2 linked regions of the Cricetulus griseus genome follow. The protein of the gene in region 2 interacts with the protein of the main gene of each other region in a biochemical or structural test. Links are inferred from orthologs where the notes say so. Each region holds a gene or a part of one and is shown on either strand. Other genes may lie near its edges. The genes, in order: Lnx2 and Gjd2.

Region 1 (4,293 bases), on a different chromosome or scaffold from region 2:
CGCTGTTCCATGTTAACACCTCAGCTACCACCTCCCCTTCCCCCCAAATTTGCTTTTCCTGTCCCCAGGTCTCACACAGAGCTTACCACACACAAAAAAAGGCTTAATGCAAGCTCTTTTCCTTTCTCTCCTCTTTCCAGGCCTCTCTTGGCAATGTCTATCCCAACACGCACAGCGACAAGCCAATCATGCATGTAGCTCCTCACAAGGTTGATCCTGAGCTGAACTTCCTTTCACTTCCCTTTCTCTCACTTTACCAGGTGTTTGAAACTGTTCCTTCTCAAGCCTCTAACATTCCACTATCTCACTAATATTGTCATTAAAGGAACAACTAATATTTATCTAGCACTTGGGCTGCACCATAGACTGTGTCAAGGGCATTACATGCATAATTTCACTTGATCCTCAAACCTTACTAAACTGGTACTGTGACTATTTCCTTCATGGTAGGGAATCAAAACTCAGATGGAATAGTAATTCTAAAGTCATCTGAAAGAACCTGACCCTCTTCAGCTTCCAGGAGCAGCTAAATTCATCCACACCCATGCCCCATTAAAAAAAATAAATAAATAAAAAAAATAAAAAAAGGAGGAACCACAGGGTGTAGTGGCACACATCTTTCATCCTAGCACTCGGGAAGCAGAGGCAGGCAGATCTTTGTCTGGTCTACAAAGTGAGTTCCTGGGCAAGTTAGAGCTACACAGTGAAACCCAGTCTTAAAAACAAACAAAAAGCCAGGAATCATCTTTCATTGATGCTATCTAGTCACTCATCTAGTAGCCCTACGTCCTGAATGCCACACCAGCTTTCTTCAGACTGACAACCAGCACCGGCTAAGTTCGTACTGATCACCAAGCACTAATCTAAGCCATAGCCATGTTTGTTTTTTTATTTTTTCAAGTTTCCAAATCCTACCAGACAAAGATGCTAAAGAACAAAGAGACTGTCCAGAGGGTGACAAAATCTTTCTCAAGGCCAGATTATATGCACAGAGACTACATAGTAGAGCCCCCCAGTCTGTCTCTCACCTCTCATCTGGACCACCACCATCCTCCAGCCAGCTGCAGTTATCTTTATGGAATTTTCCTGCCTGAAATTAATACCTCGATATCACGAACTGGATGAAGTCCAAATGCCTTAATGTGATATACAAAATCCTTTCTTTTGATCATTTCAACAAATATCTGAGTACGCCCTGTGGAAAGTGCCATGAACCCTAAGATGAACAACAAATCAGCCCTGACCATTACTTCAACCCCAAACATTGTGCTCTTCAGACTAGCCATGTGCACAGCAGATAATGTCACATTCCATAGACATAAGCATTTGGGATGCTCCTGGAGAAAGCCCATACCAATTTGAAGATTGCCTGTGGTTTCTCTGATGCATTCTAGGCAGAAATGCTTCCAAGTTCCCACATCACTTTGTCCAAAATACCCTGAGGTAATTAGAGGACCAAGAAGTATATGGACCCTTAGCAACTTTAGGCAAGAAATGATCCTGTTCTTTCCACCAGGGAACAATGTAGATACCAGATGTAAATCCAATGAAAAGTTTCAGACTTGAGGAACAAAATACAGAATTAGAATTGAGCAGTGGACTGAAAACAAAGCAATGTGATTCTAGTGCTGTTCTGACTTGGCCTACATTTGACTCCTATGGGAAAACTCATGTGGAATTTGGACAGGCTAAAGTGGCAAAACACTGTTAGTTAGCTCAACAAGGATCCAACAGCTAACTAGGACACTAGATTCCCCTCCACTTTCCTTCTTTACCTGTCAAAGTCCTTTTCTCCAAAGGTGTGGGGGAGGGTGTTCAAATCTACCAAAGCAAACAGAATTGACCTCCTGAGATCCAACTTCATCTGTGCTGTGTCACTGTACAGGCTAGAGAAAAAGCAAAATGTGTCCTGGGAAGGAGGCCAATTTCTAAGTACTGTGACTACAAGAATGTGACATTCTTAAAGTGAAGGCAGTTTGGATCAACTAGAGCTCACAGATTCCTCCAATTGTCCTTGCCATTGGTTTCTGCGTTTTTTTGTTTTTTTTTTTTTGTTTTTTTTTTTTTTTTTTAAGAAAAATTGGCGGGGTGTAGGGGCGCATGTCTTTCTAACACCACAGCACTCAGGAGGCAGAGGGAGGCGGATCCTGTGAGTTCCAGGCCAGACAGGGCTCTACAGTGAGAAAAGAAAAATTAATTCGATAAAGCCATGCGGAAGCGTCCTTAGGCTTCTGGCAAACACACAATCTTAAACGTAAACGGGAATACTCCAATACTCCATTTAAAAAGTCCTTGTGTGAAACGTGGCAGAAAGCTTTGGAAAGCCAGAAATGTTTCCCAAGCGGTGCTTTTGTGCGCAAATGCTTCCAAACTGAGATGCATATTTTGGAAATGATCCTCCCCTTCCCCCAAACACGTCAAATCTGTCTCTAGCCTGAAGGGAAAGGTGAGAATTCTCCCGCAACAGGCTGGGGCGGGGAGAAGGATCTCTGCTCATCTCTTCCAGGGAACAAAACCAGAGGGCAGCCAGCTAGCGCTGCTTTAGCTCCCGACAACGTGCAGACGCGAAGTGCAAGAACTCGTCCCCAGAGCTCCCCGTTTTAAAAAGCGAGCGTCGCGCAGACCCGCAGCGCGGCGCCGGGAACCCGCACCCGCACCGGGCCGGGCCGGACTCCACGCGGCCCCCGGCGGTTCCCCTTACCCCAGCGCCACACCCTGTCACCGCCCGCACCTGAGGCGAAGTAACTCACTCAGGGAAAGCGGCGGGCTCCTCGCAGGAGCGCTGACGAGGACGCCGCCCGGCTCCACTCCGCCGGGACTCACCGCCGCCGATTTCCTGGCGAGAAGCAAAGTCCGGCCAAGACTTCACTTCTCAACCGCCCCTGCTGCCTTTCCCCTCGGGGGCGAGCGCAGGGGCCCAACCCGACACGCACCTGAGCCAATCAGCGGCGGAGAAAGGCGGGACTAAGAGCGGGCTCTGAGTCTTTCGGCCAATCAAGGAGCTCGAGGGGCCAGACCGGCCCTGCTCATCACTCCCGAGTTAGAGTGAGCACGCTCCGCCCTCCGCCATCGCTCCCGGCCGGATTCTCTCAGACACACACAGAGAAGACGCTCGGGAAGTGTCTGCTTGCACCCCGGAGCGCCGCGCCGGCCGTGGGACAGCTGAAGGGAGGGGAGGGCTGCGGGACCAGGCTGAGGGAGAACAGGTGGTGCGGGGTGGCTGACGTGTAGGTGTGCGCTAGAGGACAGCTGGGGTGGGGCGGGGACCCAGCCTGGCCAGGGTCAGGTGGGAACTGGGAGGATGCACCTGAGGGGAAGAGAAGGGCGGCTCCTTGGGATCAAAGGGGAAAGGAACCGCAGGTCCACAGTGGGTAAACCCGAGCTCCTGGGGAAGGAGGGCGGTGCTCCAAACTCATACTTCTCTCCGAAAAGAAAGACAAACGCTGCCTTGCACCTGATGGAGATGTGCATTTGCACCCCAGGGAGAAAAATGCTCCCTGTAAACCTCAGTATGGTCAGAAGAGTCATCTCTGCACACAAGTCTCTCTGCTTTTTCAAGGTTGCAAGGTGCCCTACGAAAGGCTCCAAAGGACTCCAGTCCGGGGGGGGGAAGACAGTCCCGGGGCAGTACCGTCCCTGGTGGGTCTAGCAGATGAGAGGTTCAACTCCGACCCTAAACAGCAGTGTCTGGGGGCGACAGGCGAGGGACTGCTTGCACCGTAGCCTCCTAGCTTCCGCAGTTCCAGGTGAGCGGTCCGGCCCGCACGGGGCGTGGCTGGGGCGTGTTCTGTTTTCGCCCCGCCCCTCCATCGGGTCCTGCCGCGCCGCTGCGGCTCCGCCCCCCTCCTTCCGTCATCCGCTTCTTCCGTCGGTGGTTTCTTCCTTCCTGCTTCGCCCGCATCTTTCGCGATATGGGGAAGAGCGTCCTTTTCGGCAGCACCACCTGAGGATTTCCTGGAGCCGCCCCTCGCGATGGAAGAGGATCAGGAGCTGGAGAGGTAAGGTTGGAGGGGAAGAGTGGAGGGGGCGGCGGGCCGGGCCAGCGAAGCGGGTAGCGACCGGGCACGCGGCCGACTGCGGCCCGGCGGGGCGGCTAGGCCTGACCCGAGGCGCTGGGCAAGGGAAGATCGAGAGTAGAGCCGAGCGGGTTGGGAAGAGGGAGGAGAAGCGGTGGTGGGTTTGTTTATACAGAAAAGCTCAGAGGGACACTAGCCATCCTGGAGGGGAGAGAAGTTGGGAATCCAGCTCTAAGTGCCAAACTGCCATCCCCATTAGAACTGCCTCGTGTAAGGT
Region 2 (4,146 bases):
ATGACTAAGAGCCAGTCATATGGGGCTCTACTGCAAACCTCTGCCCTGGCCAGTCTCCAAAAAGCACCCCATGTAATTCCCTCTAGCTTGCAGATAAACTGTGTTAGGGCTAATGTAAGGCCAGATCAAGGAAACAGAAAAGCTGGCATGCTATCCTGGGTTTGAGGGAAAGGGGCATGCTGATGGGGGAGAAAGATCCTCAGGGATGTTTTTTCTGCAGCCCAGGATAAAGGGATGTGCTGAGATGGGTCACAAATTTTATATCAATGAGTATTTGACTCATGCCATTCACCAGAATACAGAGCTCAGCAGAGCTAAGTCTTGCTTGGCAGCTGTGCCAGTCCACTATTGTCAGAAGCAGGAAGGACCATTAAAGAGAAAGGCCCAAGGAAGTCCAGCTCAGTCACCTTGTCACTCTACCCAATTTGTCTCTGTAGAACGGATGGTGTAACATGATGACAGTTCTACCTTTTCTCTTTGTCGATGAAGACCCTTTAACATCTGTATCCTAGACCTTGACAGCGAGCATCACAAAAATGAGGGCAGATCTGTCTACCCTTGAGTCATCATCTGCCTTGAGGTTACTTGCCACCCAACAGGCCTTCCCCAAACCTGCTGTTTCACACATAGGCAGAGTCACTAGACTGAGTCCTGCCAAAATTTGGAACACTGACTCGAGGCAGGTCTTTGTTACGTATCTCATAGACCGACTTTCTCTTGGCCTGGGCTCCTCGGACAGCCAGTTTGATCTTCCGCCATCCCAGATGGTTAAGTTCAGCCAGGTTGAGCACCACACAAATGCCACTCACAGCAAACATAAACACCAGAAAGACTGTCTTCTCAGTAGGTCTAGACACATAACATTCCACCTCCTTGATGCAGGGGTATCGGTTACACTCATACAACCCTGGAACACTGAAGCCATAGAGAAAGTATTGGCCCACCAGAAACCCAATCTCCAGAGCATTTCGGAACACCACTTGAATGATGTAGAAGCGGGAGATACCTTCCTGTCTTCGGAGCTTGGACCTTGCTGCTGTGCGAAGCCCTGATGGGTGTGGAGTCAGCTCTTTAACCTCTAGGCAATCTGGTTCTGTCTCCTTGCTGGTGTTCTCTGTGTTCTGCAGCACCCCATTGACAATGGCATTTTGTAATTTCTTATCTTCTCGTTTGCTCCCGCCACTGCCCCCAACCCCAGTTCCTCCAGGTCCCCCTATAGACTCAGTGGGGTCTCTGTCCAGGGCAAGGAAGACAGTAGAGTACCGGCGTTCTCGCTGCTTGGCTGATTGGTGCACAGAATAGGTGATGAAACAGAGACTGGGGGTGCACACCATTATGATCTGGAAGACCCAGTAACGTATATGGGAGATGGGAAAGGCGCGGTCATAGCAGGCCTGGTTACAGCCGGGCTGCAGGGTGTTGCACACAAACATGGTCTGCTCATCATCGTACACCGTCTCCCCCACAATGGCCACAATGAGTATCCGGAAGATCACCACCACAGTCAACAGGATCCTGAGCAGAGGAAAAGGAGGGGGGAAGAGAGGTTCTCATAGGCTAAGTCACTGATGGGAAGTCCCTGATCTTTCCTGTTCCAATGTTTACCAGTCCTTGAACAGGGGAGCTGTCCACCCTTGAGTGGTACTGAACTGAGAGCCTAGAAAACAACTTTATGTTTTCCTTTTCTGCTTGGTGCTGGAAAGCTTGGAATACTTCATATTACAAGGATCTCACATCTGAACAATTTCATGCACTGTTTATGGTTCTTTTGCAATGTATATAGTTAATCTGTAGATGAAGAATGTCTACAGACTGCAAACATATCTTTACTCTGGCCAATGCATACAGAATCTTTTATAAAGGATCCTACCTGTGTAGTCCTATCCTAGTCTCAACATTTAGAACTGAATTGTCACTAGAAACAGTTATGAATACAAAATTCACATCTATATACATAAATAAATAACTGCAGGTAGTTATAAATATGAATAAATAAATATATATCCATCCACATGTGTATATATACATACATATAGATATCCACAAAAAGAAGCCAGCTATGTGTGTGGCTCTCTGGCATTAAGTTTTAACGGAGGACGGGGTCTAGCTTAATAAATTTCTGTTAAAGAATGATGCATCTGCTGTGATGAGCAAATCCATCTCCCCACTTGCCCTTCTCTGTCCAAATGCAATTCTGCCTTCCTTGTAGATTCTATTTAGGGAACCAGATGGAGATTGGCGCTGACTCTGGAGAGTAGGGGTACCAGGACTGAGTCCACGAGTCCTTTTCTGATAAGAGAAGCGTGAACCCCTTCCCCTTGTGGTGCTTTATAGAGAAAGTATGGGGGAGCTGGTCAGGAGTAACTGGAGGAGGGGGGCGTCACTGGGCTCCGGGTAATCCCTTAATGCAGGCAACACTGGCACTTGGACAGAGGATGGGGAGGAGGCAGAGGGCTGGTTGGGGGTTTGGGGGATCGTTAGAGACGGGAGAAGATATTCCCAAGGGCCGCCCGACGGGCCCGCTGACGTCTGGCTTGGTGCCCTTACCTCCCGATCATAGTGGAGTGCTGCTGCACCGCGGCTTCCAGCAGCCTCTCCAAGATGGTCCATTCCCCCATCGCTGTGCATCCGGAGGCAGCAGACAAAGACTGGGCAGTACCGGGCACGTTCCTGGTCCTGGCCCCTCCCCGGGCCGCACCTCCTGACCGAGAGCGAATTGCCCCCAATTAAAGAAGCAAACAAAAATGTTTTTTTTTTTTAAAAAAAAAAATCCACGAGCCCCTCCCCCTTTTATTGCACTTAAAAAAGGGGAGTAGGGGGAAAGCAATCTATGCGCGACCCGACCAATGGGGCTGTTGGCGCGGTGCGGAGGAGCTATCCAGCACCTCGCTGCCGTCCGGGGATCAGGTTGACTCCCGCAGTCTCCCGGCGAGGGGCGGGGCTGAGTGGCAGCGTGCAGGTGGCCGAGCTCCTGCCCGCCGGAGACCGGTCTCTGCGCCGCCTTCCCCGCGATCTTGCGGTCTGAGGGAGGGTCCGCGCACCGGCCCCAGTGCCTGTCACTGGAGCGGGCACCTGGCGCTCCCGCGCTGCTGCGGCGCGCAGAGCTGGCTGCGGGGCTGGGGAATCCGCGGCCACCGCCTCTAATCCGCCCTTAAGTAGTCTCCGCCTGCGTCACGCCAGGTCGGCGGAGGGGAGCAGAGCGCGGCGTGCCGCTGTCGCCCAGCGTCGGAGCCCGAGGGGCCGCGGCCGCGCTGCGGGGGGGAGGAGACGGTCTGGAGTCCCCCGCTGCGCCGGGGCTAGGGAGACCGAGGACTGCAGCGCCCCTCGGGGCTTCTGGGGCTCCCAGGTAACCTCACCTGCCCGCCGGCCTCCGGCAGGAGGAGCAGACACGTAGGTGAGTGAGGAGGGACCCGAGCAGGCAGTGTAGTTGCCCCCACCAGTCCCCAACCCCCGCCTGTCCCTCACCTTTAGCTTTGGGCCTTCTGAGACACCACTGAAATTCCTTTTCTAGATCGTGGTGCTGATTGGGGGAAGGGCTTTTTTTTAGCCCTTACCGGGAGAGGACAGCCTCCGACGAGAGTGCTGCAGAGGGTCCTGGCTTCGGTGGGTTGATCAGGTGCTGGAGTGAGACTCCCGGCTGGCTGACGCCTAAATGCGGGTGGGAAGGTGTTCTGAGCATGAAGATCTAGGTACAAAGTACTTGCCAACCAAACAGGTGCCTAGCAGCGAGCCAGTGGACTGGCCACGATGAGTTCTCATTTCTCCCTGCACAGATTAGGAGGCTGTGTTTTTATTTGCCCGTAGCCGATGGGAGTAGGGGGTACTTTCCAGGTTAGCACGGTCCAGCCCGAATTTAAGGAGACCCAGTATTTATCTAGCTGAAACAGCAGCTCACAATCTCACCCCACCCCCGACTCTCCTTATTCAGCCTTTGCTTTTCTCCCTCCCTCAATGAGTTTTCAAATTTACATTTTGTTGTCAGTTCCATCTACAGCACCTACTTAATTGGTCCCAGGAAAATTGAAACAATCACACCAAGCTGCTAATTAGCTTAGGGTCAGTTTTAGGAGACATCAAAGCTTGGAGTGTTTCATATAAATACCAAAAGCACAATGAGTAGGGACTTTACATCCTTACAAAAATCTG

The links.
Region 1: the proteins of Gjd2 (region 2) and Lnx2 form a complex in vitro, tested with the Homo sapiens proteins (2 studies listed by BioGRID and IntAct, with this or other methods). The link is inferred for Cricetulus griseus from reciprocal best matches to the Homo sapiens genes GJD2 and LNX2.

Annotation. Positions count from the first base shown.
Region 1 is NC_048597.1:82,925,908-82,930,200, forward strand, and holds the start of Lnx2 (ligand of Numb protein X 2), read right to left. Parts: upstream 3,068-4,293; 5' UTR 2,934-3,067; intron 2,907-2,933; exon of another isoform or gene 2,732-2,906; intron 1-2,731. Other genes in the region: Polr1d (DNA-directed RNA polymerases I and III subunit RPAC2), read left to right, coding at 3,973-3,998; protein POLR1D, read left to right, coding at 3,973-3,998.
Region 2 is NC_048599.1:64,469,387-64,473,532, reverse strand, and holds Gjd2 (gap junction delta-2 protein), read right to left. Parts: upstream 2,619-4,146; coding exon 2,548-2,618; intron 1,516-2,547; coding exon 621-1,515; downstream 1-620. UniProt on the Homo sapiens protein: One gap junction consists of a cluster of closely packed pairs of transmembrane channels, the connexons, through which materials of low MW diffuse from one cell to a neighboring cell.